Callithrix jacchus: one gene and its partner. The protein of the gene in region 2 interacts with the protein of the main gene of each other region in a pairwise test. Links are inferred from orthologs where the notes say so. Each region holds a gene or a part of one and is shown on either strand. Other genes may lie near its edges. The genes, in order: NCOA6 and ESR2.

Region 1 (4,572 bases), on a different chromosome or scaffold from region 2:
TTAGGAGTATCTGTGACTCTGTAACAATAGAAATCTCAAATATCTTTATTTTTTTGAAACAGAGTCTTGCTCTGTCACCATGCACCAGGCTGGAGTGCAGTGGCACAATTTCAGCTCACTGCAACCTCCACTTCCCAGGTTCAAGCAATTCTCCTGCCTCAGCCTCCCGAGTAGCTGGGACTACAGGCACACACCTCCACACCCAGCTAATTTTTGTATTTTTAGTAGAGACGGGGTTTCACCATGTTGGCCAGGATGGTCTTGATCTCTTGGCCTTATGATCCACCCACCTCAGCCTCCCAAAGTGCTGGGATTATAGATGTGAGCAACCGTGCCCTGCCCTCAAATATCTTTATATTATACTACAGTTGTTGCATATAATCTTAAAGTACCCTTTAAGCGCATCATATCTTTGAAATTATAATTATCGGATCCATCACTAAATATGATTTCTTAATGTGCTGATAAACAAGTATATGCATATTAGATTTTTATAGTGTAGTAATTGTATTTCAATATAATTGGTGTTCCTTATAATCCAATGTATTTTATTTTATACAATTAAAAATATTATTCTGAAAGGGGTCCATGGCACAGATAAAGTCAGGTCTTCCAGCATTAGAAAAACCCAGAAAAGGCTCACACCATGGTGGCTCACGCCTGTTAATCCCAGCACTTTGGGAGGCCGAGATGGGCAGATCACTTGAGCTCAGGAGTTCAAGACCAGCCTGGGTAACACGGTAAAACCCCATCTCTACCAAAAAGAAAAAAAAAAACAAACCCAGAACAAATGAATTGTGTTACTGTATATACATATGATATTGACGATCTTATTTTATATATAACCCTTTTGTTCATTAATTCTCTTTGATTATATGGGGCCCTGGACCTATTTTTCATGACTGATTTGCATATTTCCTTCAGACCCATAGTCCATGCAAACTTTGAATTCTTCTCTCACAGGATCCAACTTCGATGAACACAATATAGACTCTGGGTCTCTACCATTGTTCACTTTTCTTTTTTAGGATTTTGTGTTCCTTTATGATAAACACCTAGAAGAGAAGGCATCTCTTTTTTTAAGACAGTATCTTGCTCTGTCGCCCAGGCTGGAATGTCATGGCATGATCACAGCATGGCTCATTGCAGCCTTGACCTCCCAGGCTCAAGCGATCCTCCCACCTCAGCCTCCTGAGTAGCTGGGACTACAGATACAAGCCACATCAGATGGCTAATTTTTTGGCCTTTTTTGTAGAGATGGGGTCTGCCAACTCCTGGGCTCAAGGAATCCTCCCACCTTGGCCTCCCAAAGGGCTGGGATTACAGGCATGCGCCACTGTGGCTGGCCGGAGCATCTCTAAAAACTCTAGAAAGTTAGAAAGTATCAAAGATAACTTCTTTGCACAATTAGAGACGAGCCAGGAAATACCAAGTAACTGTATTCCCTTCGGCCTTTGCATTGCCAAACTCATTACAGGAACAAAACAAATTTAATTGTTCTCTGGTATATACTGTTACGCTTCATTTCTTGTTGTTTTTGTTTGTTTGCTTCTAGTTTCATCACAAGAATGTTACGCTTCATTTCTTAACACCTTTCTCCCAACCAGCAAATTCCTTTAAGGAAATGTGTTTAAACCACTTCCAGTAGCCCCTCTGCCACTAACTTATAAGATCTTGAGAAGTCAACTTTACCTTTCTATGTTTCAGCTAAAATCACTACCTGAGTTGAAATCTTTACTTGATCTCTCAGGTCTTTGTAGTTTTTATACATTCACTCTTCACCATTTTACTGGCTTCAATAACGCCTTTCTGATGACCTCTCCAGGTGACCCTGCTCTTAAGCTGTGGGCTGTCCCATTCCAGGGAAGACACCTTGGGTCACCGCCCCCAAACAGGCGGGTTCCTCCTTTTAAAGACACACACAACTCCCAAAGTTGATGTAGGTTTTCTCCTTTCTTGCCAACCAGTTCTACTCTCTGTACCTCTTTTGCTGGCCAGCTTGCACCCAAACCTCAGTCCCCCTGTTCTCTCCTCATCAAACACCTTTTTCCTGTTGCTTCCCCCAATAGGGGGTGGAGGATCCTTGGGACAGAAGTCTTCAGAGCCTTGTGAGTTACACAGCTTTGCAATTCAGTTCCACTACCCCAAGGACTGCCCAATCTGATACCAGCGTCTGGATCCAAAGGGCCCTCATTTCTCATCAATCGCCTCCGTCCTTTCCCGCAAAGAACTGTTCCAGCCCTGACAGCCTGAGCCTGACCCCAAGCCTCCACCCCAATCCCCAGATCCTACCAGCACTAGGGCTCTCTATACACCGCCTAAGGCCTAACCCAGTTCCACGTCCTGCCATCCTTTCAGCCCTTGGACCCCAATCCCGGTTCCTTTCGGTCCCGGTGTTCCTTCTCGGCGACCCTGACTACGACCCCACGACCCCACGACCAGCTCCCGCCAGTTCCCCAGGCCTGAAGCGCCACCCCGTGCAGACCCCAGCCAGCCCTGCACTCCCTCAGTGCACCGGCCCCCGCGCCCAGCACCCTCCCCACCCCGCCGGGCCACCGCTCCCTCCAGCGCCCCCGCCCGCAGGCCTAGGGCCCGCTCCCCAACATGGCGACTGGGACACCAGCGCGGCGGGCGGGGCGGCTCCGGGCCGGGCCCACACTCGGACCGTGCAGCACGGTCGCCGGGCGCCATTTTCCCGCGCCGGGCCCGGGCGGCGCCTCCTCCCAGCAAAGCCAACCCGACCCGGACCGCGGACGCCCGGCGGGCCCACCCCTTACGGGCCCGCGCCGCCGTTGCCTCACCTGAGCGCGGCCCCGGCCCTCCCGGGCGGGCCTTGGAGCGCCGGCCCGGGCCGTGCGTGCCCGCCGCCCTCCGTGCGTTCGTCCGTCAGTCCTCGCGTGCGCCCGTCTGTCCGGCCACCCGCGCCCGGCCGCCCGCAGCCCGACCCGGCAGGGCCTCACGGAGCCGGCGGGGAGGGGGATGGGCCGGACCGGGCCGGGGAGGGAGGGGGAGGGAGGGAGAGAGGGAGGGAGCGCGAGAAGGGGCGGGGCGGACTCGAGGGGCGGGGCATCGCCCATGTGACCAGACGTTCCCGGGAGCGCGAGGTGGAGCGCGCGCCAGCTCGCTTCGGTGCTGAGTGCTTAGTGCGGGTGTATCGTGGGTCTCTGTCGACTTCCCAGGGCTGTTCTCCCGCCAGTGAGTCCCACTTCGGAAGCACACACGGCACAACGTTTTGCGAGCGCTCTGGCTAAGTACCCTTGGACGTGGCAACTCCAAGCCTCAGTTTACCTATTGAAATATGGAGAAATTCATAGTGCTTGTTGAAGAAGAAATGGCGGGGGGCATGGAAAGCACTTATCGCAGTGCCTGACACATACTGTCTAATAATAAGCTTAATGGGGATATAGATAGAAGCTTTCATTATTAGTTGCCTCCAAATCCCTCTCTTCTTTTTCCCATCATTACCTCCCTAGCAAGCGAAATGCTCAGTTAATAGAATTCTTGATCGAACAAGTGAGTGTGGCCCCTCCCCTCTTCCCAAATGTAGAAAGGCCTCCTCAGCACTGGACTTGATGTCTGTCATTCAGGCCTGCATTCATATCTGGCTTTCACTCTTTTTTTAAATTTTTTTGTTCTTTTTCCCACACTACACTGATGTATTTTTTTAATTTTTGTGAGTACGCAGTAGGTGTATATATTTATGGGGTATATAAGATTTTGATACAGGCATGCAATGCATAATAATCACATCATGGTAAATGGGGTAAATGGGGTATCTAGCACCTCAGCATTTTTTTTAAAAAAGATGGTGTTTCACCATGTTGGTCAGGCTGGTCTTGAACTCTCGACCTCAGGTTATCCACCCACCTCGGCCTCCCAGAGTGCTAGGATTACAGGCATGAGCCACCGTGCCTGGCCGCACCTCAGCATTTATCTTTGGTGTTACAACCCAGTTATATGCTAGTTATTTTAAAATGTGCAGGTAAATTGTTTTTTTACTATCATCACCTTCTTGTGCCGGCAAATACTATGTCTTATTCATCTTATTTTTTGTAACCATTAATCATTCCCATTTCCCAGCCACCTCCCACTAACCTTCCCAGCCTCTGGTAACCCTCCTTCTACTCTGTATCTCCATGAGTTCAATTGTTTGAATTTTTTGCTCCCATAAATAAGTGATCACATGGGAAGTTTGTCTCTCTGTGTCTGGCTTCTTTCATGTAACAAGGACCTCCAGTTACATCCATATTGTTGTAAATGGCATGATCTCATTCTTTTTTAATGGCGGAATAGTATTCTATTGTGCACATGTACATTTTATTTACCTATTCATCTGTTGATGGACACTTAGGTTGCTTCCAAATCTTGGCTATTGCGAACAGGGCTGCAGTAAACATGAGAGTGCAGATATCGCTTCCGTATACTGATTTCCTTTTTTTCTGGTGTATACCTAAGAGTAGGATTGCTGAATTGTATGGTAGCTCTATTTTGGCTTTTGCTCTTGATAGCTACCCTTCCCTCTCTGAACTTCAGCTTCTTCATCTGCAAAATAGGAGTTAGGGGGCTGTTCTG
Region 2 (4,371 bases):
AGTAGTTTTTTCAAATACAGAAATAAGTTTTAAATTTCAAAGATTGGAACAGAATGGTGCTATTAATATGATATAAATAACAACTTTTAATAGCCTATTTCAATTCAGGATAACCAATGATAATATACCATAACCAAAGGCTTAAACCGCAATAGAATCTAAATCTGCTAAGAACTAAATCTGTTAGACCAATATGAATTTAACACTTAGCTCAAGTCTCTAGTTTCCCATTTGCAAATAGCATTGTCTTTGCCTTAATTTATCCCAAGGTACTAGAATTCAAACAAAAATACCACAGACTCAGCCTATAAAAACAGAAGAACAGGTTTTTCTTTCAAGAAAAGTGAAGAAAGGAAAATATGCATAAGTAAAAACATACTAAAGAGCAAAACTTGTGGTATAACATTTTGGAAAAAAAAAAGAGCAAAATTACATAATCAGCAAACAGATCAGTGATTTTCAGGGGCAGTGGGGTAGGTGGAGAGGGTTGACTACAAAGAGGTACATGGGGGACTTTTGGGGCGATGGAGCTGTTTCGTGTCTTGTCTGTGGTGCTGGTTATATAACTGCATCTGTCAGAATTCACAGAGGTACACTTACAGAGGCTAAATTTTACTGTATGCAAGTTACACTGCAGTAGCCTAATTATTTAAAAGTACTATTACATGTAAAACAAAATGCTGGACACCTGAATTATGAAATCTAATGTTCAAGCATACAATTCTCAAGGGTTCTAGATGTATTATCAAAAATTTACTAGTAAACACTTCAAGTTCAGCCTTCAGTATTTTATATTTTATTCATATTCATGTTCTACAAAATGATTCAAAACATCACCTAAAATTATCACAAGATGTATTTTGAATCATTACATGTTGAATCATTTATAGAAAATGTCAATGTCTTATTTTTAAGAGTGACCATATCAATATCTATTAAATGTTAATTAAATGGTTATAAGTTGAATTTACTACTAAATTCACCTTTTCTGAATTATAAATACATTTTGAGAAGTGTAAATGGTGATTAGATTTATTCACATCCCTCAGAACACTATGAAATGTGTCCTAAACATGTTAATTGATTTCAGAGACTTCTGTCTTGAGCAAAACTTAAGTGCTACAAGCATCTGATAGCTTTTGAAATGAGAATGTTCAAGAAATTCATCTAAAAAAAAAGACTTGAACGTAAAATGCAATCCTAAGGTGTATGCTCTAATGCCTATTGATGAACAGATCCTTACAGTTTCCTTCTTCTAGAACTTATGCCAAAATATATTGATTTTCTTCAGAAAAAAATAGTTGAAAATGTGAAGCATGTTTTCATAGTCATAGTACATTTGCTTTTCACAACACTCTCAGAAAAACCTTTCCTTTCACATGTTCACTTTTTAAACATCTTTCCCCTCACACAGAGGAAACTAGACACTGAGTTATGAAACTTACAGCAAAAGGAAAACTTTCTAATGGAATGCCCATGTAAATACTAGAAATATAACAAAATAAGGCAAACTCTTTCCTCCCAAGTGTTGCCTACCACACCAAAACACAATTCTGCTTTTTAAACAGCAAGTAAAATTAAATCGACCTTATCTTCCTCAATAGAAGTCCATTCGAAGTTTTATTTTTCACAAAAATGACATTTACTTGACTTAATATTACCCTTCCAATAAGAATAACACGGAGGGGGTTAGAGGGCAGTAGTTGGACCCCTCTTCAGCAAATAAAGGATACCAGATAGCGCTTAGCCCAGGAAAGGAGGAACTCAGCTTGCTGACATGGCTGAGGAATGCCAATACATTAAAAAACCCCTATCATCTGTTTGAGACATGTACATCTTCCCAGGTCCTCAAACTTCAATCAGAAAGTGTGTTCAACAGTCATTTCATCTACACTGGGGAAATCCACCGAGGAAAACCAGAGAAAAAGCAATTTTTTTCCCAGACATTCATATTAGCAAAATCAATCCAGAGCTCACAAGCACAAACTAAATAAGTTAACTTGCCGGTATCTTGAATAGAGACATTTGATCAAAGCATGATCAAAAGTATTTTCCATCTTTCCGGCAGCTTGCAATACAGTTGGTTTTGGTGATTTTTTTTTTTTTGGTCTTTTATTGTTCTCAACATGACTGGTTTCTCATCGCAGGATTTCAAACAAAATGAGAAATCACACCTTGAGCGAAAGGGCGCTTACCTTGCGGATAAACACACCGGCCTTGCAGTCTCTAAAATGCGGACACGTGCTTTTCCCGCAGTAGGGGCCTCCCGGCACGCGCCCCGCGGCCACCTGTTGAAAGCGAGCGCTCCTCGTGCAGCCCCGGCTCCGAGCGCCAGCCCTGGGGCCCGTCGCAGCTCGGGTGGTCCCTTCCCAGCCCAGCGCTCGCCGCCTGCTCTCTGCCCTGCAAGTTTCAAGAGGCAGTTATTTCCCGCAGCTGCCTCCGGGCGGGGGAGTGAGTATCCGAAAAGCCAGCGGCTGGAGAAACTGAAAAGATCACCAGCGACTTAACGATAAGCCCCTTTTTTCTTTTAAAGACCGAGAGGACGGTAGAGGGGAGTAGTGCCTAAGCCCACGTGACCACAGAGGAGCCCGGCGGTCTCAGGAGCACCCGGCGCCGCGCGTGACCCCGAAGTGGGAGCACCCTTGAGCCGCCTCCTGGTCCACCCACAAGGACAGTGGCGCACAGATGGCGCTCCCCGCAGCCCCAGTCTCATATTAAGGGTTTTGGAGTAGCCCGAGAACATGCATTTCCAACCAGGTCCTGGGAGATGCTGACATTGATACAGCCAGTCTGGGGACCATACTTCGATGATCACGTCCCCAGCTCCTGACTCCCCTGACTTACATGGGTGCCATTCAGTACAGAAGTCCGATTCTAAGGATCCAGTGGTGAAACCAGAGAGGCTTTGGGTTTGTCAGATCCCCAGCAGCAAACGTAACCTCGGGTCCTAGAGTGGCAAAGCCGTGAACTAGAGGTGGAAGGCTTGGGTTCTCAGCTCTTCAAGAGCTCTCTGGAAAGGCCTTTGGCGTTATATCAAAGATCCCAGGTACTTCCTCGAACTCACTTGGTGGAAGTGGCACCGCGAAGACCTGTGCTTCCGGCTGCGGTGCCCTTCTCCCCTGGAGGCGCCTGCCCACTCCCTCCTCAGATGAGGGACCCTCGCGCCCCCTGGTGGCAGCCCCAGTTCCCCGAGCTTAATGGGGTGTTCCCCTCACACACCCCAGGACCCCCAGGTTGTGAGACTAGGACCACAGGCTCAACTGGCTTTAGGGCAGCTGACGATGATGAAAAGGAAAAGGAAAGTATCATGTGACCCACGGGCCATTGTGAGACTCGTGTCACATCTGTGCCTAATTAATCATCAAACCATCTACTCAGGTGGCATAAGGGACGTGGTTTTTGAGGGTTGTGATCCAGATCTTTAATAGAGGAAAACCAAGGGGGCATTTGGAGGGAACATTTTACAGGGCCAGCCTCAGTTGTTCGGTGTTTAGCCAAAATAGAGAGAGGGTTCTGGGTTGATAAGGATGAGGTCCACAGGTAGTGAAGACAGGCTCCAAAGATGGAGAAGCACCTGCTTCTTCAGCTAAACAGTGGCTGTGAAAAGTCTCCACTGCCCCACTCCAAGTCCAATTTTCATTAAAGCTGTGAGTTCTGGTTTCTCTCCGGTTGAAAGGCAGTCTTTCCTTGAGGCAGAGAAGTTAGTTTGGACAGGAAGAGTGTGTCACTGGCAAGCAACTGCAGCAGACAACATGCCAATCTCAGCCTCTCTGTCCCGTCTTGGGGTCTCTCAAGGTACCCAGTCCCCATATACTCCCTTCTCCTTGCCACCTTATGGAGAAAATGTTAAATGATGGGTTAAAAAATCAACTTCGTTTGGTGGTGTATACTTGTTAACAAGATATCTCTGGAAATGGAAACCATCGTGAAGGAATTTCAACCATGAGCCAACAGGCAAAGATGGGTGAGGGTGAAGAAAACACATCTATCAGTATCAACATCATACCTAACTATGTGCTAAGCACCTGCACAGCATCTCATTTAATCCTCATACCAGCTCAGTGAGATAATATTGACTCCACTTTTCAAATGAGGAAATTGAGGCTCACAGAGCTTCTATCAGCTACCTGAAGCCACATAGTGAGAAAGGAACCCAGTAACAACAGTGGCTTCATAGAGAGCTACCACTTATTGGACATTTTATGCCCCACTCTCAAAAATTCTTATTTTATATGCAAGCCTGTGAGGCAAATTCTATAATCCCCATTTTATACTTGAGAAAATGAATGATCAGGAAGGTTAAACAACCTACCTATGGTCACATGACCTATCAGTGGCTAAGAAGGACTTGAATCCAGGAGAGAGACCAAG

What was found.
Region 1: the proteins of ESR2 (region 2) and NCOA6 interact in a two-hybrid assay, tested with the Homo sapiens proteins (3 studies listed by BioGRID). The link is inferred for Callithrix jacchus from reciprocal best matches to the Homo sapiens genes ESR2 and NCOA6.

The regions. Positions count from the first base shown.
Region 1 is NC_133506.1:4,479,840-4,484,411, reverse strand, and holds the start of NCOA6 (nuclear receptor coactivator 6), read right to left. Parts: upstream 2,997-4,572; 5' UTR 2,802-2,996; intron 1-2,801. UniProt on the Homo sapiens protein: Nuclear receptor coactivator that directly binds nuclear receptors and stimulates the transcriptional activities in a hormone-dependent fashion. Coactivates expression in an agonist- and AF2-dependent manner.
Region 2 is NC_133509.1:98,955,768-98,960,138, forward strand, and holds the start of ESR2 (estrogen receptor beta), read right to left. Parts: upstream 3,091-4,371; 5' UTR 2,845-3,090; intron 2,401-2,844; 5' UTR 2,196-2,400; intron 1-2,195.